4 linked regions of the Alligator mississippiensis genome follow. The protein of the gene in region 3 purifies or fractionates together with the protein of the main gene of each other region. This does not show direct contact. Links are inferred from orthologs where the notes say so. Each region holds a gene or a part of one and is shown on either strand. Other genes may lie near its edges.

Region 1 (7,195 bases), on a different chromosome or scaffold from region 3:
CTGCTGGGCAGACGGGGGGGCAGGTTAGTTCCGCCCCTGAGCCCACCCGCCACGCCCCCAGAGACCCATCCGTGGTGACTACTGCATGTTCATGAAGGGGGCGTGGTCAAAGGAAGTGGGGGGGCCCTATGCTTCCGTGCTGTCCCTTTAAATCCTATCGCCTCACCCTCAGCTAAGATGGCAGGCCTCAAATGAAGGTGCCTGCCCTTACTCAAGATGGCGCTGCACCCCTGCTGGTCCTGTCTCTGGATCCTCCCTGGTTGCCCTTCCCCTACATGGCATGCCTCCATGGGGTTCTCAGAGACTCCGCCCTCACCCCAGGCCCCGCCCCCTATCCTGATCTCTCTCTCTCTCTCTCTCCCCCCCTCCCACTGGGCCCCACCCCCTGGAGAGCCCTCCATTGGCCCTGCCCCCAAAGACCCCACCCACATCCCCCTAGATCCCTCCTCCCTACAGGCCCTGCCAATCAGAAATCCCTCCTTGCAAGCTTCACCCCCTGGTCCCTACAGGCTCCGCCCCCAGAGGCCCCACCTTTGGGCCACACCCGCTGAGACTCCACCCCATCCCTCAGACACCACTATCCCCTCCCACCATACACCCCCTCCCCGCCTACCTGGCTGCCGGCAGCACTCCCATTGGTCGGAGGAAGAGGAGGAGGAGGAGCTAGCCCCAGGGCTCCGCCCCCTCACAACTGGTAGGCTGGGCCCTGTCATCTCATCTGTCCCATCTCCTGTGGTGGGGGGCTCCTGGAGGGAGGGGGATGATGCCCCTTGGCACACCTGGGAGGGACAGAGACAAGTACAGAGTTAAAAGGCCGCCCCAGCTCTGGGAGACCCCCTTCCCTGGCCCCCACACCTGGGGACCCCCTGCAGCCCTGGGAGACAGCGCTCTCCACACCCAGGAGGCCCCCTCCAGCTCTGGAAGACCCCTGTCCAGCACCCCCCACACCCAGGGGACCCACTCCTCCAGCCCTGGAAGACTCCTCCCAGACCACCTGTCCCCCCCTTTCTGCCCCCCACCACATGCAGAAAACCCCCTATCCTGCCCCCCCAGCCCCAGGAGACCCCACTCCCAGCCCCCCAACTCGGGAAGACCAGGCCCCCCAGCTCTCAAAGTTCCCCCTCCCTGCCCCTCAACTCAGATAACCTCCCTCCTGCCTCCCCCCCAACCCCAGGGCACCCCCCAGCCCAGCTCACGGGGGCACGGGGGGCAGGACACTCCTCCAGGGTGACGGCCAGCACCCGGCGCCGGGACCGCTCCAGGGGGGAGGCCACCTGCCAAAGTGCGGCTCCTGCCTGGGCCCCTGGCCTCGCAGCCTGCTCCTCCGCGGGCCGCCTGCAGGGGGGTACAGGGGCTCAGGGCGGGGCGACACTGACCACCAATCCCCCCCCACCCCCTCCATCCCGGGCCCGAGCCCCAAAACAGCTGGGGCCAGGCACCCCCACAGAATCCCCCGGGCCCAAAGCACCCCCCAAGTCCAAGGTTAAATGAGGTGGGGGGGAGGAGAAGACGGGTTGCCTTCCCCTGTAGTCAGGGCGGGGGGGGGTACACTTCCTCTGCCAGGGGGCTCTCGGGGTCAATCTGACCCAAAGTAGCTTCAATTACTGTATGTCTTTGATCACAATGCACCCCTTCTCTCCAGAAATGCAGCCGCTGGGTATTCTTGAGGGTGCATTGTATGCGAGATGCATGGTTAGAGCAGCTTGTGCCCCCTTTGCCAGCCCCCTGCCCCAAAGCCAGTTGGAGGAGGGCCAGGGGCATCGGAGGGGGGGTCTTTGGGTCACGCCACAGGGCTGTTCACTTTGGACTAGGGGCGGCAAAGATGCATCTGGGGGGACGATCCTGCCTGGAGATGATCAGGAAGGGCTCGGGGCAGCCAGCTCTGGGGTGCAGCAGAAAAAACAGGGGCTGGCCACATATAACGCTGTCTAGAAGAAGCTCAGGTGCAGCCAGCTCTGGGGTGGAGCAGAAAAGAGAGGGATCAGCTACATAGATCGCGAAGGAGGAGAGATCAGATGTAGCCAACTGCGGGATGGAGCAGAAGCGGGGGAAGAAACAGCTGCATACAACACTGTCCAGAGACATCGAGAACGAAGCTAGGTCTGGGGTGCAGCAGAAAGGAGGAAAAGCGGCCGCAAATAACACTGTCTGGGGGAAAAAAAACTCAGATGCGACCAGTTCTGGGGTGGAGAAGAGCTAGGAAACGTAAGAGCCATCCATATCCAACGTGGTGTAGGGAGGGCTGCGAGGCATCGCGCTGCGGGGGGCAGCAGGAGAGGACAGCGGGCGCTGCGTGCAACAGAGCAGCCCCCACCACTCCGAATCACGCAGAACAAAGGGGTTTCTGGGGGGGAACGCCTAAAAAAGCCCCATTTCGAGGCCCCTGCTCTCACCCGCCCCCAGCCCCACCTGTAGACGAGTCTGCGGCGCCGGGCCAGGCGCTCGGAGGCGGAGATGATGTCGGGGTCCAGGGGGGGCTCCATGGCCGGGCCCGGGGTCAGCTGCCCCCCCCGGCCCCGGCTGGGGGTTTAGGGGTGCGCCAAGACCCCCGGGCACCTGCTCATCCTCCCGGGGGGGGGTGGTCCCTGCCTGGGGGAGAGCAGCCACACCTCGTTGCTCTCCACCCCAGGCCTGGCCGCATTGTGCAGCCCCGCGGCCGCCCGCCCCCATCGCGCCCCCCACCCTCGGGGTGCCCCCTGCCCCCCGCCTCCCCCACTGCCCCCCAGGGACCCCTCCCAAAGACCCCCCTGCTCCCAGAGCCCCCCCCCCTCTACCAGCCCTTCCTGCCTGCTCCCCCACTGCCCCCCAGGGACCCCTTCACTGGCCCCGTCCCACGGGGGTCCCCCACTGCCCCCCACCCACACCAAGCCCCCCCATCCCCTACTGCCCCCGCCCCTCCCTGCCTGCCTGCCTGCCTGGCCCCCCCCCCGCACCGCTGTGGTCCGCTCTGCGCCGCCCGGCGGCTCGAACTCTACTGCCCCCGCCTCCTTCCCTCCCTGTCCCTGCCCATGTTGTCCCCTCCCAGCCCCCCCTCCCCCACGCGGCGCCAGCCCGGGCAGCCAGTAGCCAGGCGTCTTGCTGCCGCCTCGACCAATCAGAGCGGGCCGTGCTCCAGGGTTCGGGTAGGGGCCGCCGCCATGTTGGCCAAGGGCACCGGCAGCGTGACGGAGGCCCCGCCTCCGAGGCGGCGCCGCCATCTCGGGAGTGGGCAGGGCGGCGCCATGTCGGGGAAGGGCAAGAAGGGACGAGTCAGATCGGCGCCATCTTGGGTAAGGGCAGGCGCCTTCATTTGCGGTTCGCCATCTTAGGTGAGGGCGAGGCGTTGGCTGGGCGGGGTTAGGGGAGGGCTGGGGCGGGGTGGGGGGGCCTGGACCCCAGACTCGTGGGCCCCTGGGGTTGCGGTTGGGGGTGGGAGCAGAGGGCCTGGGGGCCTTACCCCAGTGGTCCAGCAGAGAGCATAGCGCCAGGCCCTAGGAGGGACCGAGGACCAGGTGACCGTAGCGACCGGTCATCACGGAAATCCTGGACCGGCGCTGCTGGACAGACAGACGGATTGGCAGGACAGGGGGCTTTCCTCTCCGGGGGCCGATCCCATCCTGATCCATAGGCACCAGCCCCGGGGCGCTGTCCTCCTGCAGCGTTCAACTCGGCCGTTCCCCACCTGCTCCACCCCAGAGCTGGCCGCATCGCGGCCCTCCCAGCTGCCCCAGGGGCCTTTCCCCTCCCAGGGGACCCCAATCTGCGTCCCTCTGTATTGACCCCTGGGACTTGGTGCCTATAAAACCCACGTGACCCCATGGACCGCGTGCCATGCTGGGTACGTACAGCCCCGGACACATCCCTGCCTTTGCCCTTGCCCCTGCCCCCCCGCCACCTGAAGCGGGGGTGAGAGAACGGAAGGAAGCTGCCCTGCTCCCCCCCCCGGCTCCCACGCAGGAACGAGCAGCGTGCAAAACCCGCTCCACCACTTCCCCGTGTGGTTCCTGGTACCGGGGCGGCCGCCTCCTGCAGCGCTCCGGGCGGCTCGGAGCCCGAGCGCGCCATGGCCGTGCCGCTCGCCCTCTGCCTGCTCTTGCTGGGGGGGGCCCAGAGAGGTGGGTCGTGCTTTTGGGGTAGGGGGGCACAAGCCACTGCCGGGGGCACCGTGCGCATGGCTCCGAGGCTGCCAGCATGAAGAACCGGGGGGCTGGAGGGGGCGGTTGCGGTGTTTCGGGGGTGGGAGAGGGCATCCTGCCAGCTGCGGGGGGTGGTTTGGGGAGGGGAAAGGGTGTTGTGGGGGGTTAAGGGGGCAGTTGGGAGGTGAGAGCAGGGATGTCGGGGACGGGGGCAGCTAGGACAAGATACCAATCTGCTTATTGCCCCATGACTTGGGTGGGGTGCAGGAGCCCACCCACACCCAGACCTGCATGGCCCCAGCTGTGGGCAGCGGAGCCGCGCTCGGGGCTGCATGTCATCGTGGTCGCCGTCAGGCGTGAGAGCACACCTGCCTGCGGTTTGGCCTGGCCCCTCGCAGGCAGGTTGGGGGCCCTCGGTTGCTAGGGCGCCTGAAGCCGGGGGTCCTCAGTCGGCAGGGACAGGCACATCCGTTGCTAGGGGCATCCCGTGCCGGGTGTCCCATGCCTGGGCCCTTAGTGGCAGTCGCTAAGGTGATGCTAAGGCAGGGGTGGGCAAAATGCAGCCTGCAGGCCAGATGCGGCCCGCCAGGCCATTCTGTCCAGCCCCTAAAACGTGTAGAAAATGAATATTTATCTGCCCCTAGCTGTGTCCTGCGGCCCTCGATGGCTTGCCGAAACTCAGAAAGCGGCCCCCCTGGCCCAAAATAATTGCCCGCCCCCATGCTAAGGCCAGGGTGGTCCATCCCAGTCATCCGGGGGGAGACAACCGGTGGCCCTCGGTGACAGCTGTGCCCGGCCTCTCGGCCCTTAGCAACCGCCTGGGCCTGTGTTCTTAGCGCTGGTGGGCCAGCACCCTCGGCCCTTAGCAACACCTGGGCCCGTGCCCTCAGCCCTTAGCAACTGTCTGGTCCTGGACGCTTAGTGATAGGCCCAACCGGTGCCACCAGCCCTTAGCAACGGTTGGGCCAATACCCTCGGCCTTTAGCGACAGCCATGCCTGGCCCCTTGGCCCTCGCCCGGGTTCCCTCGGTGTCATGCTGCTGCCTCTTGCCCCGTCGGGCCTTAGGCTTCGAGCCGGGACAGACAAACCCCCTCGTTTTATCCTTTTTCACCCAAAAGGAGCCCACAGTCGGGAGAGCAGAAGCCAGGAGTCCCCCCAAATGTTCATAGATTCATAGATTCATAGATGTTGGGGTCGGAAGGGACCCCAATAGACCATCAAGTCCGACCCCCTGCATAAGCAGGAAAGAGTGCTGGGTCTAGATGACCCCAGCTAGATGGTTATCTAACCTCCTCTTGAAGACCCCCAGGGTAGGGGAGAGCACCACCTCCCTTGGGAGCCCATTCCAGACCCTGGCCACTCGAACTGGGAAGAAGTTCTTCCTAATGTCCAATCTAAATCTGCTCTCTGCTAGCTTGTGGCCATTATTTCTTGTAACCCCCTCGGTAAACCAAACCTCACCAGTTCCCATTCGGAAACCAGGAGGCAAAGCAGCAAGCTAAAAACGTGCAGCTCCAGGCACGCGGGGTCCACATTTTTAGGTCAGGGTTTTAGGTGGGGGCGGGTTGACGTTTAGCAGCAGGGCAGGTGGCAGGCGGTTATGGTAGATGTCTGCAGGACCCAGGCGCCCGGGGGCACACGTGTATGCACACAAGCGTGCACATATGCAATCACCTTAATCTTGCAAACGTGTGGGCCAGAACAGTGACTTCCTGTGCAGTTGTGGTTTACACATGTAAGATGCAGCGGAAAAATAAGTGTCTCTCGTTTGCTTTATGGAGGTTGAGGGGGGTGGGGAGGGTGCTGGGAGCCCGGACGCCTGCGTTCACTGGGGGGGGCTGGACCCCTGGGTTCTCCGAGCGAAGCGGGTAGTCGGGTCCCTCCGCTGTAACCCACCGGACTGCGCTCTTGGGTGTGGGCCGCCCTATCTCGGGGCGGGGATGGGGCAGAGGAGACACCCGGATGCCTGGGTTCCTTCCCCAGCTCCGCCTGAGATTGCAGTGATTGCCCCCCCCGCACCGAAAACCAAATGTGGATCTGAGACCGGTTTAAAGGGATCAACCACAGCCCAGGTCTTCCAGCAAGGCGGAGGCAGGGTCTGGAGGACATCTCCAGGCCACTGGGCTTGACCTCAGGCTTTCGACACTGCCACCGGTTCCTGTTTTGCTCGTTATTGGGGGTTGGTTAGAACAGCTGGGGGAGGGAAGGGGGGGGCACAGGATGAGGATAACACCCCATCCCTAGCTCAGTAACAATCGCAGTGGTTGTGCCAGTAGCTAGGTATACAGAGCATCGTGCCTGGGGCTGAGATGCAGCCAGCTCTGGGGTGGGGAGCGGCAGTGGCTGAGTGTAACGGAGCTGTGGCCAGCTCTGGGGTGGGGAGTGGCAGTGGCTGAGTGTAACAGCTGTGGCCAGCTCTGGGGTGGGGAGTGGCAGTGGCTGAGTATAACAGAGCTGCGTCCGACTCTGAGTTGGGGAGTGTCAGGGGCTGAGTATAACGGAGCTGTGGCTGGCTCTGGGGTAGGTGCTGGAGGCTGGGTGTAGCAGAGCTGCAGCTGGCTCTGGGGTGGGTGTCATGGGCCGGGTAAAATGAAGCTGCAGCTGGCTGTGGGGTAGGCAGCAGGGGCCAGGTGTCAGAGAGCTGTGGTTGGCTCTTTGATGGGTGCTGGGTGTTGTGGAGCTGTGGCTTTGGGGTGGGCACCGGGCTCCAAGTGCAATGGAGCTGCAGCCAGCTCTGGGGTGGGCATCGTGGGTTGGGTATAATGTAGCTGCAGCTGGCTCTGGGGTGGGCACTGTGCCTTGGGTATAACAAGGATCTCTGCCTCTGCTCTGTATCCCCCTAGGTCCGGCCCCCACCCTTGGGTACAACCTCGACACGGCCCACCCAGTTGTCCTGGCTCCTGATGTCGGCCCCAGCTTTGGGCACCAGGTCCTGCACTTTGGGAATGACAGGTAGGGGCAGCCCCGAGGTGGGTCAGAGGAGGGCTGAAAGCCTGGATGCCTGGGTTCTCTGGGAGGGGAGGGGAGGGGAGTGGGGCTGGGGGGTGAGAGCCCGGACACCTGGGATCTCTAGGGAGGC
Region 2 (7,819 bases), on a different chromosome or scaffold from region 3:
TCAAGTTCAAATAAAAAGCATGGAGGGGAGGAGGAGGTGGGGGGGAGCTGAATTCATACCAGAATGACGGAAACAGGACATAAAGGGAAGATCACGTTACAGCTTCCAGGTTCTTCTCTATTAAGGGAAGTTGATTTCAAAACCCTAAAAACTTTCAGTAATAAAAAAAAAAGCTCTGAAAAAGGTAGCAAGGGTGACATGTGAGATTTGTCTCTAAATTGCTGATGGTAGATTGCACAGGAAGAACACAAGCTTCAAGCCTACTGCAGCAGTTAGCATATGATTTTCAGTACTTCAAGTATTTAGCCCTTAAGTGAAAGGCAAGGTTATTCTGTCATTCCAGTTTGACAGAAGTCTCCAAATTGATTGTCTGACCCTTCCAAGTATCAGGAGCAGAAACAGGAGGAAAGAAATGTATAGGGAGGGGGGGTGCGGAAAGCAGGAACAATAAAAAAAAAAAAGGTACCATCTGCCTCCTACCCCACAAACCTGCTGGTCATGAGGGCAGAGGGTCTCTAAATGTCCTTATTCGTCTGAATGAAAAATTTCCCTTCCATTGTACAAAAAGAATGTGATCCTTTGTCATTAGGAGATGGTACCACACAAGAAAGGTCACACTGGCATTGGGATTCTTGCAGCATACCAGTGTTACTAGGTAGGTTTCAAATCCTGGGAGAAGAGGAAATAAATGAGCACTGCAATACAACCAGCCCGAATGCTCGTGTTCCATATGATATCCAGACGCAGAACCAGCCTGATCCTGCAAGATGAGGACTGCCCTTGGCTCAATGAAGAGTTAAGGGCACTGACCACCCTCGGGTGACAATGTCAGCAGACAAGTCTTGATTATGGAGGGCATGATTCTGAAAGATGCTGAGCATTCAACTGAAGATAAAGGCAACAAGAGCTGCAGGTACTGAGCACCTCTGCAAATCAGTTGCCTGAATGCCCTAAAAAAATTTTTAAAAAATAAATAAATTCAGCTGAATCCTCCAGCACATCCCGAATTCCACATCTAACCAAACAGCATTACATTTTTGTGCGTTTTCCACAGAACAGTACAGAAATGCAAACAGATCAGACTAGAAAAATTCGACCTACCCATTGGTTTGGGGACAATCAAAAAAATATTGAGAGTAATTTACCCCTCTTCCCCAGTCCTCCTAGTATAACGGTGACAGGGACAGTCAAATAGATTGCATCTGGGCTAGTAAATTTCCATGTCTTTTGAAGGGCTACTGTAGGCCATATGCATTATGACTACACAAAAGAAGCATAATGGTTAGTTTCAAATAACAGGGACAAATGAAGACCTGAACACACAAGGTTATGGCTATTAACCCCTATGCTGCTGAAGACAGACCCAGAATTTTAAAGCTATATATAAAGATGGACGGTAGCATCTTTTGAAGGCATTTACCAGGGGTCAGTCTGTATGCCTGGACTGCTCAAAATGCTTAGGAATAGTCTATCGTGCTGATAGCGCTACAGTCATGATATCATACGGACACATGTCTGCCCCAGTGGTAATCTCTGTTGCCTCAGCATCTTTATTACAAGCCCATTTGCAACTCAAACCTCAAGGTTTCTGGAAAGGAACTTACAGCTTAAGATTTCAGACAAGGAATTTGCTTTTTCTCAATAGTTTTTAAAAGAAACCCTGTTTGTTTCTTCACCGTCATTTTTGATATACATGCTTTCAACCTGCACTCGCAAGACAACATTCATGATAGCATTTGCAGTCCAGCAGGCAGACATTTTTCTCATCGTTCCCCTTACTTTCTGATGGCATTTTTGCTTCTTCCCCGTAGATAAAAAATTAATATCTATTAAAGTAACAGTAAAAGCTTTCTCTAAAACCAACAACTGTGAGACTCCAGCCTAAATTTTTCAGGCCAGCAGGGGGTGGTAGCATCACCCACAGTTCTGGCAGCTCTGCAATAATCAAGGGACAACAGTGAAGGTCAAGACTGAAGTACACACCCTAGCTCAGAAGGTCTTTATTTCTGTCGATCACAGACAGGACCAGGAGGCTGTTAACATAGAATGTAAACAGGAAAGCAACATGGCAGAGTGAGATGTGACAGTTTTAAGCAACATTTTAAATAGCCTGCCAGCAGGCAGCTTTTGCCATGAAATAAAAGAAAATCCCAATGGTTCACTCAGTCCCTCGTCTGGATGACAGGCTAATGAAGAAAGGATTCTCCTCTCCGAATAAATGGCTACCTTTGCCCTCCTGCCATCCCAAAAACTGAACTGTAGGCTTGCTTGGCATCAGCCAAGGCTGTCAAACTGTTTCTAGCAAGCAGGTGAAATGCTTCTGCAGGCCCTCTCTTGTCTTTGAAAGCTTGGTCTTCCCAGAGTTTAAAGACCCCCCCTTCTCCAATATGAAATGGAAAAGAGGGGCAGGGGGAGCCCTAGGTAGAACCAAACACTTGAAAGAGACTCCATGCTAAACAGGAACACCCCTCCAAACAAAAAGACAAGGTAGACACTCACTGGATTTGTAGAATCGGAGTGCCAGCTTCCTTAGACAGACACATATCATTTAAGACTCAGAACTGTGTACAAGTTTACTGAACAAAACAGTCATCACAGCAGCCAGAAAGTCTGCAAAGCATGCGCCTGCCCTGGCCACTCTCTAAATCTCCTCCTTTGAAAGAAAGCCCACACCCCATCCTGCACGCTGCTGTCTCACTAGGCAATACACACATTTCTGCTGTGCTGTTCTTTCTTGCATAGGACAACAAAATAAATACAAAATCCAGCCATGATTATCTTAACTGTCTTCCTCCTCTCAAAGGTTTCTCCTTTTCTACCTGACAATAGTCTGTCTGCGGACACAACCTGAGGGAATCTGCTATTTATGACATATGGAGCATGGACACTACAAGTTACTGTACCTGCAGACATCTGTTGTCTTCTTTTGATGAAGACTCAAAGAGTTGCATATTCCAGATCCTCATGAACAGTGATTCAGTTTCTGCTCATGTGATAAAAGCTCCCTCTACAGAGTGAGCATGCCCAGTGGAGACCATTTCACTGTTCACTCCAAGCTGCAGCCATTTCACAGAGAACCTGCAGACTTAAGGGCTTCCATTGGAGCAACTGTTATCTAAGGCATCAGAGGGATACAGCGTCTGTCCTGGTACAATACACAGTTAATAAAGATAATCTGTCAACATTCTGACACAATGCCAAGCCTAAGACTGATCATAGCCTGAAAACCCCCCTTAAAAACCATGCAACAATGTGTTCTGTTACAGTGGCCTTCAAGAGTAGCCCTTCCTTGCCTATGAAAAAGAGATGCTGCCTATTAGCATTTACATTTGAGGGCGCATGTGCTAATTATATTCTGCTTAATAAAACTGTGCGCCTTTTGAATGCTGGGATAAATGCACGTGGGTCAATCAGCAAATGTACAGTGTCCAACTGAAAGTGAATTTGAGATTTGATCCGCTGAGTTGAAGGGCCGTCAATTTTTCACTTCAGAGATTTATAATACAATGTGAGCTTACGTTACCAACCTTAAAAACGTATCAGAAACATAATCATCAAAAAGAAAAAAAAGCGAATGAACTGATAGAAGTACTGCACCTAATACTTTCCTGAGCTGAGCCTATGTCGAACCATAAGATACAACTGGCCCAGCTAGCAGGATAAAAGAAGAAATTTTAGCTTCAAAATCACAAGTAGTTTGTCTCTGTTCCGTTTCACAATTAAGCACAAAGTCTTGGCAACCCTCATATCTGCTATAGCTCCCAGTAAAACTGCCTGAGCAACTCGCAGGAACATCTGTAAGCAGAGATCAGCTGGACTGGATTCAAATGCAAAAAGTGACATATTTATCACAATGCCAACGTACGTGGGTTTCTTTATGTTTAATATTTTCTGGAGCACCTCCCACAAGAAAGGGGGAAGGGAGGATGGAAGAGAAGAGAGAAAGAAGGGAAATTCTTAAATGGAGTCAAGTACCTCCTGCTTGTTCTTCAACATGGAAAAATGCAATTCTCCCACAAAGCAGGACTGAGGAAGAAGTTTCCCTTTAAGGCTCAACATTAAAATAGCCACTAGTTCAACATATTGCATCACAATGAACTGAGATGAAGAGGGAAAGCCTGGCCTGCACAAAGGGAGAAAACACATGAAAATTCACAGTGAGAAGCTGAAAAGCCCAATTTTACATCTTTTAGACAATGCACGAGAATCAAGTACACTAAATTCTAGTTTTCACAGTGAAGCGAATCCTACAAGATTGCCCTTCTTCCCTTTATTTAGCAATGCAAGAGACTGTCATGATCTTCTATTATCACACACTGGAAACAAGCAATATCAATTTTCTCCACCCCATGCATTTACTTCACCATCTTGCACATAGACATTTGCAAAGTGGTAATGGTTAAAACAGCAACAGCAATCTTCCATAGCACTGCATCTACTAAAATGATGCTCTTTTCCTCTCTCCAAGCACTTCAGACACGTTTCACTACCAAATGGTTAAAGCATGCCAGGCAAAATTGAGAGGATAAAATTGATCAAGGAAACTTAAGGTGACAGAAGGAAGTGAGGATATCACCTTTACTCCTGGGTTGTTTTTCTAAAATAGCTTTAAGTTACAAGGCATATCAATGGGATTTTTTTTCTGGCCTTTATTTCAATCACTGGAAATGTAACGGTAACCTCTTTAATATAAAAAAGGAAAAACGCAAAAGACAACCACCCAAAAAACAACAAAACCTGACAAGACAGACAAAGGTATATTATCCACTGCAACAAAAGGAATACTGTAGTTCTAACCAAAGACAGCCCTAAAATAGGTCTGTCTACTGTTATCCCTCTTTGCAGCATGAATTTATAAACCTAACATCAAAAAATATGGAAGGGGATACAACGAATTTCATAACAACTGCAAACGCAAAAGAGGTAATATAGTCAAAACATTTTTAGAGCTAAAATTTCTCTCAAACCATGTTACAGTATTCATTCTTTCAGTAGGCTCACAAAGACAGCACTTCTTACTGCAGCTCAACGCTAGAAATGTTTTCACTGCTAAAGTTAAAAATACATGGAAAACAGAAGTTAATGCAGATGCCAATTTGTTTTTCAAGTCTCCCCTCCATTTTGAAAGCATCTTTTCCCAAGCCTTACAGACGGACACATTTTCAAACAGCATATTGGGGACACTTCAACAATTCACTGAAAACTCAAGCAAAACAATCAATTAGCATCTTACCAGGCACATTTCACAGTGTCACAGTGACACTGTACAAAAGGACCAACATGATTTGTGCATTAGTTATTGAGGTTATGGTCAAGTTCTTTACATTTATGAAGTCCAAAGAGAAAAAATGAGCTCCTAAGCAGCCCTTAAAATCTCACACATCATTAGCTGCACCACACTGCCATTCAAAGGCCAGTCTCCTAAAGCGACACTGGTATGTGCATCATGTCTGCTTCAGGAGCAAAAAAATAAAAAAAATAAATCTCTTCTTTTGGAACTAAAACCGTTTCATGGAAAGCTGCAAATCGCATGGAGATAATCAGTTACGATACCTAGGAGTGAAGTTGAACAACAAACTTGTTCGCAGCTCTTGAGTTTAACTGTGTCGTGACAGACCCAAATGCTGTCATGTTACTGTTTAATGCCCAGGACGAAGCTGTAGTCGTGTTTTAAGGTGCTTACTGTTTGATGGAAGCTACAGTGCTTCTTGCTCTGTTTCCTACTTGGTCCACATGAACAACAGTCCTGCTTTGGCCACATGACCTAGCTCCCTCTACAGGTCCGTGTGCCACAGTAAGCATGCTCAGAGAGGAGACCATTTCCTTTCAGCCGTCTTAGTGTTGTGGAAACTGCAGCCATTTCATGGAAGTCAGGGAGAGCACAGATACAACCTCTTTTTAAACAGATCCTGCAAGACATTAAAAGGAGCCATCTTTTGTACCCCACACGCAAATATCCCCACAGACACACATGTGCACGCACGCACAGGCACGGATGGAAAGAGAAAACTGACATTCCAGGGAAGAAGATGGTTACACAAGTTAACTATTCGGTGACTTCAGAAAAGTAGAATCACGTTGCATTGATCTCTCCTCCCCACCTTTGCCAGGAAAGGCTGTCATGAAGATGACCGAGGTGGACTTCCTAAGGATTTGTTGCTAGTGGAATGAACCAGCACATAAACAACACCAAAAACCCAGCCATTTGTATTCAATTAAGATTTGTTTCCTTTCCCCCTTCTCTCAAATTAACCCAAGCAAGGTCATCATCAAACTGTATCTTGTGTGGGTTGCCTTGCTAGGGACACTGTATCACTTTGCTTTTTAAAAATGTGTTCTGCCCAGGACCTTAAAACTAGCAGATATTTTTAAACTCGTGGCTCTCTGGCCTGTTCTGAGATTCGAGGCTTGAATATCCTTTTAGGATCTCACATTTTAAAGAGAGAAAAAGACAGCAGAACGACAACCTTTGTTCAACAAAGCACACATGGTTCCTAAGGGCTTTTGCTTAATTACACCATTACATGTGTCATTTTCACAGCTTCTTTTAAAGAAGAAATAAAAGTGGGAGGGAAGGGAAAATGTTTCTACTGTCAGAAGATGACCAATATTTGGTCCAGCAAAATACAGGAGTTTTTTTGATTTTGCCTTGCCTCCCTTGCTGTTTTCATACCCTACCCAGCACCGAAGCTGCTTTTTCTCTTTTCGGCTATCTTAAAAACATAGTGAACAGGAGAGTTTAAGGGGTAGAGAAACCGTCTATAAAAATAAATTAGGATTCCAAAAGGAGCTTTCATATTTTTCCCCTGTTGTTAAAAATTACTCATCAGCTTCACAACAAGTTATTAAAATGCCTCCTTCCTCCCTCAATGAATCTTTAGGGGGGTACGTTCCTGCGAGGTGCTGAATCCCCCTCAATTCCCAATGCTGGAGACACCAAATGCCCATTGAACACCTTGCAGGGCGAGAAGCCCCAGTCTGAAATGTACTGAGCAGGCTCCTGGACTCATGTTCTACCTCACAATCTGAAACCTGGGTCTGTTCAAAGATTTTAAGCCAAAACTACAACAAAGTTAAATGCTGTTTTTAAGCCAGTCTGAAGGGCAAAAATGCCAAGGGACTCTGCACAGAGGATGTTACACAAACCTACACAGTGGCAACAGGTAGTGAGATACAAGCTTTTCAGGAAATGGTCCTGTGTTTTAATCAAGTGTTCATTGCATTGATACAGTAACCCAGAACTAACTGGTTAACTTTCTAATAGGCTGACAGGTTTGTAACTTAGAAGGTATTGTATCCCTCACAGTGCAAATGTACCAAATCCATCAGCTTTAACACATAGTAAACTTAGCAGTCAGCATTTCCATTTTGAAACCTCTTCCCTTCTTCATTCAACTACTGCACGTAAGAGCTCCTACTGTACAAATAAAGTTTTGCCCGAGAAGGGTGCTGAATGTATCAAGCATATTCCATCTTCAAGAACAGAGATCAAGCTTATTACTTTAATGACAGCAACAGTTTGTTTTGTTGGTGTTGCTACTGTTTTTATACACCTGGAAAAAGACAGATGGGGTAGGAATCAGAGACATTTCAGTAGATGCGCAGTGCAAAGCCATACTGCTCATGATCATAGTCTTCTGCCAGGAAAGCAGGCAGTAAAAATGGCTGCTTACATTCAATCTCACTTCTGCTGCAACACTCCATCGAAACGCTGGAGATCATTTTACAGACGACGCTGCTGGTAAAGTTCATGGTCTTTCCCTTTCCTGGCCTCCCACCCAATTTTGTAATACTATGGACAGACATCCATATGAAAATA
Region 3 (7,391 bases):
GTGCCTGGAAAAGAGCTCAGTGCACTGAAAATAATTTTCTGACAAAGATCAAAATAGATTTCTACTGATATTTCCCACTCTCACCTGACATCACCTTAAGACCTTAAAGTTGGGGTGAGGTTGGAATTCTTTATAAAGGATAAATAAAACACTGGAGGGAGAAGGGCCTTCATGTCAGCAATTAAACCAAAAATACACATGCCTCAACTGCTTGAAAAGAATTTAAACCCCAATAAAAGGCCACAAAGAAAGAGGCCCAGCACAAAAACGTATACAAAACTTGCTTTCGTGGGACAAGAATAGCAGATGCAGGAGCAAAAGCCAGAATCAACGACACTGCAGAACATGCATTATTGCAGTAACTCAGAGACAAAGAATCTGGGTGTTGGGCAAGAGGCGAAAATTCTTGTGGATGGTATCTTTTTGTGGACCAACTGCATGGTTGGGAGAGGCAAGCTTATAGATATGATAGTATCCTTCTTCAGGACTGTGGGAACACAGCAAAGCTACATAGTAGATGGAAAAAAAGCTTGTGCAAAACACCTTATGTAAATAAAACCAGGGTATAAGAGAAACGATCAGGTAACCAACAGGCAAGAGAGATACAGTAAAAGCCTGGTAACAGAAGAACAAGGTTGTTCAGAAGGGTCATTATCATTTGTAATGTGCAGAGAATCGAGTACATCATAATGGACCATGAAATCACTGTCTGTCAAGTGCCTGGTACTTAGTGTCCAATTGACTCATACATTTTTGTTCCTTGCCTTTCAAAGGTGTTTAGTGTTGGGTGAGATGTTCTGAAGGCTGTGCCCAGGTACTGTGAGAGTTGTAAAGCAAACAAGACCATCAGCAACCATTTCAGATGGAAATGGCAGTGCTGTTAGCAAGAGGGATATGCTCCCAAGAATCCTTTTAGAAAGTGCAATAATAGAGGGGGAAGGCTTGTTTGTAGAAGCTTTCATAGTTTAAACTGGTTTAAATGTAAACAGTTTAAAGAGAGAAGATTAGGTCAGCATAAGCAGGAAATATATGATGACCCAAAAAGATTATCTGACCTATTTAATATGAATACATTCAGTCCAAGTGCAGTCACTACATTTTACAGGTTTGCGACTTAAGTGCTACTTTCATGCTTTTAACTTGAAATACTTCCTACCGCCCTTCCTAATGTTGGCTAAAGTCCTACTCCTCTTTCAGGACTTTAAAAACATGGCATATGTATGTACCACTTGCCAGGAAAAAGCAGCAGGCATGTTTCTTTTGAACTGGGAAGAAGTGTATTAACATTTCCAGGCTCCAAAACCTGAAAAACTGCAGAAAGGCTTTTACTCAAACTTTCCAGAATTGCTAGCCTTTGAGCTGAAACTGTAGAAAGAAAGACGACCTTGGCTTCAAAGGGAATTTGAGTATGCATCCCCTCATCATCTTCAACTGCACTCACAACTTGAGAGAGAAACAAATCTCTGAAGCTTGGGAAAGTGTGCATAAAAAGGTAGAAATACTGCTTCTTTGCAGAGAAAAGCAAGAAGGAATTCAAAGACAGGAGTTCTCTTTAAGTTACGCTTTCTAGGTTCTACATGAAAGAGCAGCAGGCACACACAGAGGTACTCCTATACTTCCAGCTAATCAGGGAAATGCTGGCAGAGCCCAAGCACAGACTTGTGTTTTACTTTTTTAAATTAAAATAAATTTGGATCTGGAGACGCTACAGGGGAAACAGCGATTAAAGTGGTATGTATTTCCCAAGTACCCAGCACCTCCATGAGTGGAAGACATCTCCGCACCCATAAATATTCTTATTCCCCCTGTTTTAATGGTACTTTCTTCATTCAACGCTGTCGTTTTTAGTATTCAGCGGGGCAGGTCTGAATAGCAGTTTATTTTTCAGCCCCCTCTCCTCCCCACTACACTCCAATGCTCTTTTCCCTGTATTACCAGCACATCCAAGCTGCCTTCACTTGCCATGCCTACATTTCACTTGAGTAGACAGCGAGATTAAACCAGCCTAGTTCCGTTTCTCATCAGTTTCACTACCTGCATCTCCAACACAAACAGGAGGCTGGATTTGGGTAGGAGACCTAGCAGCGGCTGTTCAACCCCATCAGAAACATGCTGCACAGAAAGGCAGCAACACAAACAGTCCCAGAGATGGTTCTACGGTGATGCTCAGGCTTAGAAGCACTCCCCACCCCTCCCCTTTTTTTTTTGTTTTGTTTTTCCTCCTCTTTTGGTCCAAAAAGAATAAGCCCTGCTTTTGTGGGGTTTTTTCCTCCTTGGGAGCTGGAAGAGCAGAACAGCCCCTCGACCTGAATCCTGACTCCCTGGATCCCACAGTGGTGGCTACACGCCGGCTTGGCACCTCCAGCACAGTTCTGCCACCTGCAAGACCCCCAGATAGCATCACCCCCTCAGGAGTAGCTCCCATCTCTGCCATCCCTTACCCTCTCCCCCCAGGTTGGTTTTGCTGCAGCACCAGCCTCCAGCCCCGCCCCCCCAAGCACCACCTCACCCAGGCGCGCAGCCCGCCCTGCCCTCAGGCAGCTGCCCCCTCCCCCCTATCCCGGCGCAGCTCCAGCCCGCCCCTCCCCCGGGAAAGCCCCAGCTCCCCAAGGGCGGGGGGGCTGCTCCCCACATGCCCCCATTGCACGCAGCCCCCCCACTGCAGCTCTACCCCCCCGGAGGCACCGCTTCGTACTTGCCCCCCCATCCTACAGCATCGCCAACGCCCCCGCGTGCAGCCCCGCCCCTTCCCCCGCGGGGGCCGCGCCCCGCCCCTCCGGTGCTCTCCCCCCCCCGCGGCGCTCACCTTTCACAGCCCCGCCAACAGCACCCGAGGGGAAACGGCTCAGCGCGCGGGCAGGGCGCGGCGGGGCGGGACAGGGTCGGACCGGGCTGGGCAGGGCGGGTAACGCTCCGGTGCGCGCGGCACCGCAGGCCCGGCCGCTAGCAATCCGCCTCCGCCAAACAAAAGAGCCCCGCCAGCCCGAGTGCCCGCCGAGCGCACCGCGCATGCGCGCCAACCCCCCTTCCCTCAATCTCCGCTCCTGGCTCACGCGGCATGCTGGGAGGCCGAGTCCCACCGCCTCCCGCGCGCTTTCTACCTAGCGGCCTGCTGGGAGTTGTAGGCAGGGGCGGGGCTGACATGCCTGCGCGCGCCGAAGTGGACGCGGGGTGGGGGGGAGTTGCTGAGCTTTGCGGTAGCGGTGCTCATGCGTGGCGGGCTCCGCGTTGCTGTTTGCGTCCCGCCTTTAGTGAAGTCAGGTTGAGGCGGGGTGGGGAGTTCTCAATGAGCCAGCGCGGAGTAGGAGGGCGTAGTTGTATCCTAGGGAGCTTTGGAAATGCAGAACAGCATCAATGAAAATAACGACAGTAAGAATAACAAAGCAATGATGATGCTTGTCACTATAATGTTAGAGCAAAGCGCGGGAACACAGCCCCACAGACTGGAGAAGAAGCCCCCAGCTCCGTGCAGCCCCATGTCCTGCCTCTGCCACTGTCCTCAAGAGTGGTTCTCAACCTTTTTTGTACCAGGACCCATTTGTAAACATCGATGGCCAGTCCTGACCCAGTGCCCCTCACCGCCGACTCTCTGCCCCCCACCCCCAGACCCTCAGTGTGTGGGGCAGGGGGGCATAAGCAGCCCCTTGCAGGCTGGACCTTTGCCAGCCTGCCAGGGATTCCCGTTTTTCACCTTTAAAGGAGAACCCATTTTTAAAGTTCATGCCTGACCCTTTCATGTATTCTTGCAACCCACTTTTGGGCTGCAACCCACGGGTTGAGAAACGCTGCTTCAGAAGGAGCTGTAGGCAGTAGGGCAAGAAGGCAGGGATGGCAGAAGAGAGGGGGTTTCACCCCACCCCATTGTCTCAAAGGTGCCTTGCTAGAGCTTAGAGACTGACACAAGCCCTCAAACATATGGTGTAATGCCCTCTTCTCATTTTCTCTGTTGCTATTTATGTCACAGGGCATATTTGTGACCCCAAGCCTTCTTGAGGTGACTTGTTCAGCCATCTAACACATAGCATGAAAAGCATTTCCTGGCCGCTTGCTTTGAATTTTCTACCTCGTCATTCAACGTGTTATGAGACAGGGGAACAGAAGTTGTTGGTCGGCCTTATGCTTGAGAACCCTATGAAAAAGGTCTGCAAAAAGACTGCTGTGGTTCTTATATTTTCTTGAAATCTTACACCTCCTAGGAGCCTAACTCAATTTTAAAATGGTTGGGGCTGATGAACCATGCAATGACACACAGGTGATGCTACATAGGATAACGTGCTCCTACTCCACCTTAAAGCTCCATACCTTTAGGTTGTATTGTTCCATGATACCATAGACATAGACCAACATGCTATAATCACAGGGGTGGGCAATTATTTCAGCTGGAAAGCATCTTAATGGGCAAGATGTAGCCCTGCCCCTTGACAGATGCCCCACCCCCTGATCGCCATCTTGGGACCAGAAGTCCCACCCCTAACCCCTGACCTTTGCCACCTGAAGTCCCTCCCATTGCCCCAGAAGTACTCCTTTTGGGAGGGAAGGGGAGTTGCTATTGTGAAACTGAGGGGAAAAAAAATCATATACTTAAAAAAAAACAACCCAAAACCCCCCCCCAAACATCTGTTATAACATTTTAATTTTCATTAAAAAATATTTTGTCCCGATTTGTGTGTTTGCATAGTGTATCTAGAGGTGTGCGCCCACCTGACTTCGTGGAGCCTCTCCGATGCGGCTCTGGAGCACGCACTAGGGGCCTGCCACGCAAACGGCTCCTGCTGTCATGACATGGGGTCATGTTCTTCTCAGGGGACACCCCAGTACTTTCCTGCCACATTTTGGGTGTTTTGTTCAGTAAGGCTGTGCGAAGCTTCAGTTGCTGATTCGATTTGGCGGAGATTCCATTCAGATTCGGCCACCAAATTGGGCTGAATCAGAAGACACTTTAATCTCTCTGAATCAAATTGGAACCCTCCAAATCGAATCAGAGAGATTTGGAAAGATTCAGCAATTTGGACGTACACAGCTTTAAATGTTTTTTCTACATACTTCAAGGTACCAGGTGGCTCATAAACGCTGAGAAGCTGGGGCGCATAGAGTATTCCAAAGGAGCACGGGGCACTCCCCAGCGCGCTTGGCAGCAGACCTGGAAGTGGACCAGAAGCACATCCAGTCCACTTCCAGGTCCACTGGGAAGCACACTGGGTGTCCGCCCCCGCCCCGCAGCTCGGCAACTAGTGCCTCCTGGTTCTGGGGGGGCATCCAGGGTCCACCTGCGGTTGATTGAATACAAGGGCCCCTCCATGCTCCTGTGGGATGCTCCATCCACCCCAGCATCACAGCATTCACAAGCTGTACCTGGTACCTCGAGGTATGTAGAAAAAACCTTTAAAGCTGTGTCTGTGGCCGAATCGCTGATTCTCCAAATCAGCATCAAATCTTCAGATTCGGATTCAGCCAAATCGAATCGGGGACAGTGATCTGAATCAACGAATCAAATCACGGTCCCCCATTTGGGATGAACCTGAATCTAGTAGGGCCTGCTTTGCACAACCCTAATGTTCAGTAGTAGGGTTCCCTTCTGTCATGGGGAACGCACTGGGCGTCATCACTAGCAGGCGTTCCTGGGGCTCCACCTCCCCTACACCCCAGCCATGCACCAGCTCATCAGAACTGCTGAATGATGGGCAATTTGGCTTCAAATTGATGTGGTATCCCACTCCCTCTCTGCCTCTCCAGTCCCCAGTGTTTGCAACAGTCTTTCTTCCCACCACACAGGTTTGCCTGGGGCAGTGTGATGGCCTCGATGATGGGTCTAGTCTATCCACGTTCAGATCTTCTAAATGGCCCTGGCCCGCTCAACCCTCAGTGTCTGCCCTTTGGCCTTGTCTCTGGCCCCAGGGCTTCAAGGTAACTGAAATGTAACTAAAGAACCACAATTCCAGGGAAGGGTCTCTGGCCACACCCCGCTCACGCGTCCTATGTTTGCCGGCATCGCCATTTCTCAGTGTCCTCCTCTGGGCCAACTCCCTCGCTGTCCAGGATGATGTGGCCCTTTAAATCAGGCCTTGGACCCTCTTGCTGGGTCCCTCTCTGGCCCCTCCTTGTGTGCATCCAGGACCTCCATTCCAGTGGCGGGGGGGCGGGGGCGGGGGCAGTCCCACAACTACCTCCCTCCTGCATCCCCACCGCCGACTTGTATCCCTGCCGGGCAGTGTTCCTGGATGACATCATTGGGCCGCACCGGCCTCAGCTGCAGAGAAAAGCACCCCTCTGTGGCTCATCCAGTACAGCTGTGCCTGAGGGAGGCAAGTTTGCCCTTTTCTCAGGCCTTTTTTTCCCATTGTTGCAGTGGGTTGTCTCCACCACGACCCACGCCTGGGGGTTCTTATTGTCCCCTTGGGTCAAGGTGATTCCATAATAGTTCAAAATACAGCCTTACTCTTGTATATTGGGTGTGGGAGGTGTAGATATAGTGGGTAGGTGTGGGTGCAGGGTATGTGGTGGCGGAGGGTGTGGGGGCATGTTGGGGGAAGGAGGTGTGGGGGAGCATCCTTGGAGTGTGAGAGTCCCTTAAGCTGCAGGTGGTGGCAAGCCACCTGCCTGGCCCCATAACACGCAACTCCCACCCAAGTCGCTGGCTGCACATGTCGGCAGTGTGCGGAGCCAGCCCCACCCAGCCCAATAATGCTCCTGTGCAAGTCCCTGGCCACACATGGTGGCAGCATGCAGGGCCAGCCTAGCCCCATAACGTACAGCTCCTGCGCTCCCACCACGGTCCCCAGCTGTACATGGTAGCAGCAAGTGGGCTCAGCCCCACCCATCCCCATATGTGCTGCTGCAACATGTAGGGCCAGCCCCATCTTGCCCCATAGCACATCGCTCCCCACATAGTTTCATAGTAGGTAGGGTCAGAAGGGACCTGAGCAGATCATAGAATCATAGAAGTAGGGTCAGAAGGGACCTTGTAGATCTTCAAGTCTGACCCCCTGCCTGGGCAGGAAGAAAAATGGGCTCAAATGACCAGCCAGGTAGACATCAAGTCTCTTCTTAAAGACCCCCAGGGTAGGAGCCAGCACCACTTCCCTTGGAAGTTGGTTCCAGATCCTAGCTGCCCTAACTGTGAAGTAGTTCTTATGGCTGTCTAATCTAAACCTACTGTCCAACAGCTTGTGGCTGTTATTCCTTGTTATCCCAGGGGGCGCTAGGGGAAACAAGGTCTCCCCCAAACCCTTCTGGTCCCCCCTAGTGAGTTTATAGATGGTCACAAGGTCCCCCCTCTGCCTTCTCTTGTGAAGGCTGAACAGGTTCAGGTCCCATAGCCTCTCATTGTAGGGTCTGCCCTGCTCTCCCCAGATCATGCGGATGGCCCTCCTCTGGACCCTCTCAATGTTGTC
Region 4 (6,917 bases), on a different chromosome or scaffold from region 3:
ACGCATTTCAGAAACACTGCTTTATAGACCTTTTAATAGTCAGTTTCAATATTTTCAATTACTATGGAAAGCTAAAACTGGAGGGAACAACTATCCATTATCCAGGCTAGCATGATGGGAAGCACAACTTACCTTATCAAGTAGGCTTATACCAGCACTTATTTAGAAGGGTTAAAGCTGACTGAATTTCTAATTTAAGAGCCAATTCATAACCCAGAGAGTCCACTTCAGAAAGTACATAGTTAACAAATTGTTTAGCTGAAGTTCCTTCAATTATTTGTTTGCTTAAAGTGTTTTAAGGCATCCTTGGAAATAGTTAATACCAAATTCAGAAATGCCAAGGGACATCTTCTGATAAATGGTACTGTGTATTACACATACTGAGAAGCTTCTTAGTCTCTCACTGAAGATTACAGAATCTTCCTAGCAATTTTAGTTCTGAACTCATGACCTGCTATATTTTACCTCTGTACTGCACGCACTTTCCAAAGTAAATCTGAAGTAGCAAAACTCTCACCAAAAAACCCACCAAAACACCGAGTACTATATTATATTCATAACCTGTATGTCTAATAAAAGCCAACTGTCAGTTTTCTTTGCACATTTTAACATTCTACTTAATATTCAAGTATAGATATATGTTAACTGTGCATCAAAAATAACACCTTTTCTGTTCTGATTGAGGTTTATCTTAGTGTGCACTAAAAGCATCTTCAACAAAGATTTAACAACCATGTTACAATGAATCAGCCTCAAGTGGCAATTTTTAGTAGCAACAGAGTATATTTCTCATCTGTCATTTCTTTTAATACTCTGAGACTTCACTACACTGATGTTAATACCAAATCACTGTCTAACATCTGTAAATATATATCGAGAATAGTGCAGATCATTAATTGATCTTTTTGTTTTGCATTAAAAGTGATAACCAATTTTGAGGAGATGGCCCATTTTCCTCATCTGGAAGGAAGGTAACTGCCAGTGAATCCTCTTGGCTGTTACTATTACAATCCTCCTGGAGTGAAAGTTGAGTTTTTCCAGATGGTTCAGCTGAGACCCAGGAACAGGAAACTGAATGCAAGCTGCCTGCACGTAATACAGGTTACTGCTACCAAGCAGCCAGGTAAATTTATTCTTACTGAATAACATAGGTCATGCTCTGTTGCACATGTGGCGACAACGTCTCATCCTTTTTCCTCAAGTGCATATTTTCCTCTACAAAAAACAAAATACTCAATATTCAGTTGAAAGTGAGAGGCTGGCAGAAGCATCATGTGTCATAGTTTCCCTTAAAATATTCAAAACCTCTTTCTTATGCCTTTGTCAAAAAGTTTAAATTACCAAGTTGGGGGGGGGGGGGGGGGAATCAAAACTTTAGTGAATTCCAAGAGTCCAACCAGCATGTTGCCTAGTCGGTCTACAGATAAAGCATTCAGCGCTCGAGTAACACACCATATTGTTAAAGTTTCTACATCGCTACTGCCATGCATTCAGAATGTGTGAAAAAGCCATGCAAAGTTTATAAAGCAGATGGCACCACAAGCCACGATCAAGTTTTTATACAATTACTACATTCTCGATGGAGTTCAGTACGCAAGCCTGGTAAAGAGGCAGAAATCCTGCACATGCTCTTGTTCTCTCAAATTCCCCATTTCATCTGTACAAGTTCTGAATACAAGTATTTTGTCAACTTCAGGAGTGCTAACAGTTGAGTCAAGTGGGCAGAGTCAACGCACCCCTACGAACTGAATGAAAGTATTAAGTAGGAAGCAGTACCAAGGATGGCAAGGGAAACTCAGGTGTGATGCCAAGAACACGCTTTGGCAGCTGCAATTTCAAAAAAAGAAAACAAATAAATGAAGTGATCAGATTTTTTAAATCACTGCTCCACTTGCTAAACCCTGCGCCAGGCTGTTGTCAGCTCATAAGAGCAACTGAGCGTTCAGGGCCAGGCCCGTTTTCCCAGGTCTGTAGAAGGCGCTGTGTGGCAGCTCCTCTCTGTGCATCTGGGGCCCTTCCCCCTCTCTGCAGCAGCCTTACCCGGTGTAGAGAACGCGCCCCCTACTGACTCCAACCCTCATCTCTCCTCGCCACCGACTTGGCTGCGGTGCATTTTGGGTGGGGGCTGGTATTTTTCTTCCATGGCCAGATACCAGAAGCAACAATACAGATTGAATGCAAAGAAACAGGGGGGGGGGGAGAAAAGAGAGAAAAAAGAAAAAAAGGGACCACACACTTAGGTGCATTTATTCTTGCAAAGCCACGGCGCCTGCAAGCATCACCTGAGGCAATCTGAAGGGGGGCATGGGGGAGACCCTGCAGTGGCAGAGACAGAAAGCAGCATCGCGGGGCTTTATTTCCCCTGCCTTTGTCTGAGCAATGGGCTGCAGGAGGTGCAGCCCGGGATGGAGGGGGTGGCTGGCTGAACGTTACTCCATCTCCAGGCACCGGCCATGAATCGCGCCTTTTCCAGCAGGCAGCCCCGGCTCCATTCATTGCAGCGCTGTCCGGCCTCCCTCCCTCCCTCCCGCGCCCGGCCCGGCCGCCGAGCCCACCCCGCCGCCGCCGCCGCCGCAGCCCCGGCCATTCACGCCGCACTCGGGGCACCTCCACGCGGGCCCGGGCAGGGAAGTCTTTGCAACATGTGTGCGGAGGGGGGGGGGGGTGGGCTCGGACCCGCGCGCACCTACCTGGCTGGGGCGCTCCTCGGCGGCGCGGGGCGGGCGCGGCAGCAGCACCGCGGCGGGGGGCGGGGGTGCGCGGCGCTGCCTCCCTGGCGCCGCCCGGGTCCCTGGGCGGGCGGAGCGGAGCGGAGCGGAGAGGAGCCGGCGGCGCGGGGGAGACAAAGGGGGCGGCGGGCGGGCGGGAGGCGCGTGTCTGGGGGGGCGGCGGGCGGGCGGGCAGCGGGCGGCGGCCCCGGGCGGGGGTGTCGGGCGGGGGCGGGGGTCCCGGGCGCCCTGCAGACAATACAGCCGGGTCCCTCCTGCCCAGAACCTGCCCTGGCCAAGATGGCGGCCGAGAAAGAGCGGAAGTGACGCGAGACTCTCATTAGCATACGGGACTCATTGTCCGGCGGGAGGGGAGGGGGCCGCGCCCCGGGGGGGAGGGGGCCCGAGCCCCGATGGAGCGCGGCCCGCGCGGGCCCCATCCCCTCCCCGCGGCGCGGGCCCTTTAAGGCCGGGGTGGGGTGGGGGAGCGGGTTACATAACCCCGCCGGAGGTAGTGAGGGGGAAGGCAGGGGGATTCTCGCGAGAGAGGGGCGGCGGGATCTGCCCCGGCTCCGCTAGGAGGCGCCGCGCCCTGCGGCTTGGGCCGGAGAGGGAGTTGGCGCCTCGCGCTTATCCCTCCGCCGCGGCCGGGACTACATCCTGCCCAGAGGGGCCCCTCGCTCCGGGGCGGGAGCACGAGTCCGGCGCACACGGGCCACGTGACGCCCCACGTGACCCCGGCGGAGCGCGCACTCTCGTGCCGGGGCGCTGGTGTGCGGAGGAGGGGGGGGGCGCTGGTGTGCGCGCGCAGGCGGGGGGTGGGGCCGCCCTCACACCCGCTCCCCGCTCGAGGGCCCGGGCTGGGGGCCCAGCGCGCAGCACGTGGGGAGCCCGGCTGTGCCTCGTCCCTCACGAGGCGTGAGGGAGGAGGGACAGTCAAGAGTCCTTGTAGGGCCACAAGGATAGGGTGTTATTTCAGAGCTGTAGCGCCTGGCCGGCCGGCCGGCCCGCCCTCCCTCAGCACTGGGGCCCAAAGCTACAGGCCAGGTCACAAGGGACGAAAGGCCTCCATTCGTTTCAAAGTGCTGGCACGCTTTCACAAGGCAGAACAGCTTGGTCTGTCCCGCGCACCACGTGGCGGGGGATGTCAGTTTCCTGAAGCCCTCGGACCCCAAGGGAGCGACCCGACAAGTTCTTCGAATCGTCGTTGAAAACGTAGAAACGCTTGCCGGAAGTTACTTGTGCTTCACGAGTGTTAGGTCCCGTATTTTTTTTAAATGCCTCCAATTTTGCAAATGCTGACGTGGGGCGAGGTGGTTCCTGACTCGTTCAAGGAGGCGCGAGCTTTCGTAGGACGCAGCCGACTTTGTCAGATGCTATGGACGGACTTTTAAAAGACGTGGGGTACTAAATGAAAAGGAATAAAGCCATTTCAATATAAAGGACAGGGAAGGAGAGGAAGAGAGGAAGCTTTGCACAAAGAGTTATGTTCATGTTGAGATAGGTAGTAAATACTACAAACTTTACCTTGGTTAAGACTTTTTTTTTTAATTTAGATATTAGCAGTTACTCTGTCAATGACTGCAAATCATTCCAGAATTTAAACATGCATTTTCGCAGTAAATTCACTTTAGTGAACATAAGAAATAGTAAGTCATTAAAAGTATTTCCTTTATAACTGAACGAAAACACACAGGACTTATTTGTACCAACAAATTTGTTCATGCTGTTTACTGCTGTTGGGCTTCTAGAAAGGTGAGGTTGAGTTGGTCTCAATCGTGCAACCTGGCGATGCTTTTGCAACTTTTAAACAAAGTAAAATAGTGTTTTGACTTTTACATAACTTTAGTTTGCTTTGCAAGAGTACGTGTTTATAAAAACCCCTTATAGTGCACTATAAGGAAATACGATGAACAGTATTTATGATAAATGTAGATCAGTCAAGATCAGTTAGATGCAAACAGCTAACGGGCCGGGGCTGGACTCGATCTTCCAAGGTCCTTTCCAGCCATAATGTCTATGAAATCTATGAAACTTCACGTCCACTTAAGTGTATGTAAGAAGAAAAACAGATCTACAGAAGCTTTATGACATTTACGTTTTCCCTCTTTTTTTTTTTTTTTCTCTTACTCTTATACTCGATCCCATTTTGGCTATTACTTGCTGATATTGCAATACAACAGATGCTATTATTTTCCTAACTTGGCTCTAGCTGGTTAAAATTTTGGTTTTCCTTTTACAGCCAATTACAATCTTAGTAGTGGTTTGCTGTCTGCAACACATTTAATACAGTATTACTATTCACACAGTCTTTCCCCTCACCCCTAAAAGAAAAAAACAACAACTTTACATTAGATTGGCTATCAGAGAGGATTGTGGTAGAAGAATAACCTCTATGGCAGCTACCTGTTCTGAGCAGATGCTCCTAAGTAATGGTGATGATTTACATTGAACAGAAAAATACCTAACTGAAGAAAATGAATAGTAGTTACAGATAAATGCAATTGAAGTCGCCAAGCATTAATTTAGATTTGAGACAATCCTCGGGGTATTTGGGTGCATTTAGAAACTGGAGGGCTGAGAGGGATGTATCAGTAAACTAATTATGTTATGTGCCATTATGCTTAGGAACTGTAGGGAGATTATTACATGTAACATATAAATGGCTATTCTTTTATTTGTCAGTTGAAGTCATTCCTTAAAGTATAATAGTAACACTTCTCTTTCCAGGAATTTTGAATGGTATTCCTACCACATGGAAAAAAAATGAAGAAAAAAATCTGTGAGAGTATCAAAGAAAGTATGAGAGCACCAAAAGAGGAAAGCTTTGTAAATTCTGATATTCAGAAACTTTCTTAGAATCTGCATTAGTAATTATTTATGTAGCACTGCCAATGGATACAGCTTTTATAGCAAGTAAAATCCATAATAAAAACATGAAAAAAACGGAAAGTTCCTGGACCACAGAGCTTGCAGTCTGAAGGCACGTTTGTTTCAGAAAAGCATACAGGGAGAGCTGCGTGAACTGAAGAGGAGCAAGATTCATGAAACAAAGGAGGAAGCAATGGAAAGCAGAGGTAAGATTTTACAAATGCTTTAAAGGAAGCTGTTCCTCATGTTAATGGTAATATGAAAATGCAAGTGTGTATGAAGGAAAGAGTGTCTAGAGAAGCACAGCTCAGAACCGCAGAGTTGTGACCCAGGAGACATGAGCTTTCGAGGCTTGAAGTCATATTTGCATCACTTCTATTTTTGGGTATGGCTACCAGCCCTGAGCCTTCTCTAACTACTGTTGAGTTTCCCCCAGTCACCTGCAGGCCACTCTGGCAGCTCAGAACATCTGGAGGGCAAACATTCAGTTCTCTTTTCCCTGTCCTCCATATGCACCTATACTATGGACATTCCAGCTGTCATTCCAGTCCCCTGACTGCACTGGGGTTGTGTGGCTGAGCTCCTGGGCCAAGGCAGCAGGGTGCAGAGCCCCAGCCCGTCTCTGCCCTGTGGGGGACACATGCCCCCGTGCATTCCCCAGGGATGTGCATTGCTGCTGTGAACTGTGCCTCTTCCCCGCACCTCTGGACAGCCCACCCCTGCCCGGGGTCCCAGTCACCCCTACCCCTGCTTCTGCCCCACTCCCTCCCTCACCGTGGGGGCCTCGATCTCCTCCCAGTCCCTTCCCTCTCCCCCACCCCTTTCCCTACACTTAAATGTCTGGATTTTCCCAGCTGGTGAGGGCTGGATCAGGAGATCGCAAGTCGGAATTATTTTGACTTTGATATTCCAAGTCTCAGAATGGTTTTGCGACAGTTGGCATTACTGTCAATGGAAGAGATTGCTAGGTCTTGAGCTTAAGCTTTGATAGTTGCAGCAAAGAGCAAAGGCTGAATTTTTGTAATATTGTATAAGAAATAACACATGAGAGAGCTGGTCTTGCTTCCATTGAATTCAGTTGGAGTTTTCCTCCTAACTTCAGTGATAGAAACAGTGGGTCAAATGCTTAGCAAGGTGGAACAGAAGGAAGGAGGAGTCAAGGTTGACACTAAGGTTGCAACATGATTGGGAACATGAGTAATGGTGTTTAAGATGACCTGCAAAGATGGGAGAAGGAGAAGTAGAAAGGCCATCTCCCCATTTTTGACACTTTGTAAGGCAAAACAGCAAAGTTGACAAACATTTTTCCTCTGCTTGCTTTTTACATGAAGAAAACAG

The links.
Region 1: the proteins of CBX1 (region 3) and PRR14 purify together in Homo sapiens (affinity purification with mass spectrometry; 3 studies listed by BioGRID and IntAct, counting the BioPlex papers as one, with this or other methods). This does not show direct contact. The link is inferred for Alligator mississippiensis from reciprocal best matches to the Homo sapiens genes CBX1 and PRR14.
Region 2: the proteins of CBX1 (region 3) and EHMT1 purify together in Homo sapiens (affinity purification with mass spectrometry; 3 studies listed by BioGRID and IntAct, with this or other methods). This does not show direct contact. The link is inferred for Alligator mississippiensis from reciprocal best matches to the Homo sapiens genes CBX1 and EHMT1.
Region 4: the proteins of CBX1 (region 3) and ADNP purify together in Homo sapiens (affinity purification with mass spectrometry; 6 studies listed by BioGRID and IntAct, with this or other methods). This does not show direct contact. The link is inferred for Alligator mississippiensis from reciprocal best matches to the Homo sapiens genes CBX1 and ADNP.

The regions. Positions count from the first base shown.
Region 1 is NC_081830.1:1,289,282-1,296,476, forward strand, and holds the start of PRR14 (proline-rich protein 14), read right to left. Parts: upstream 3,008-7,195; 5' UTR 2,934-3,007; intron 2,703-2,933; exon of another isoform or gene 2,590-2,702; 5' UTR 2,484-2,589; coding exon 2,410-2,483; intron 1,336-2,409; coding exon 1,197-1,335; intron 780-1,196; coding exon 614-779; intron 1-613. Other genes in the region: ITGAL (integrin alpha-L), read left to right, coding at 4,043-4,094, 6,960-7,068. UniProt on the Homo sapiens protein: Functions in tethering peripheral heterochromatin to the nuclear lamina during interphase, possibly through the interaction with heterochromatin protein CBX5/HP1 alpha. Might play a role in reattaching heterochromatin to the nuclear lamina at mitotic exit.
Region 2 is NC_081835.1:51,863,411-51,871,229, reverse strand, and holds the start of EHMT1 (histone-lysine N-methyltransferase EHMT1), read right to left. Parts: upstream 3,006-7,819; 5' UTR 2,967-3,005; coding exon 2,904-2,966; intron 1-2,903. UniProt on the Homo sapiens protein: Histone methyltransferase that specifically mono- and dimethylates 'Lys-9' of histone H3 (H3K9me1 and H3K9me2, respectively) in euchromatin.
Region 3 is NC_081827.1:167,748,323-167,755,713, forward strand, and holds the start of CBX1 (chromobox protein homolog 1), read right to left. Parts: upstream 3,005-7,391; 5' UTR 2,807-3,004; intron 1-2,806. UniProt on the Homo sapiens protein: Component of heterochromatin. Recognizes and binds histone H3 tails methylated at 'Lys-9', leading to epigenetic repression. Interaction with lamin B receptor (LBR) can contribute to the association of the heterochromatin with the inner nuclear membrane.
Region 4 is NC_081832.1:12,681,919-12,688,835, reverse strand, and holds the start of ADNP (activity-dependent neuroprotector homeobox protein), read right to left. Parts: upstream 3,005-6,917; 5' UTR 2,691-3,004; intron 1,880-2,690; exon of another isoform or gene 1,697-1,879; intron 1,124-1,696; exon of another isoform or gene 923-1,123; intron 1-922.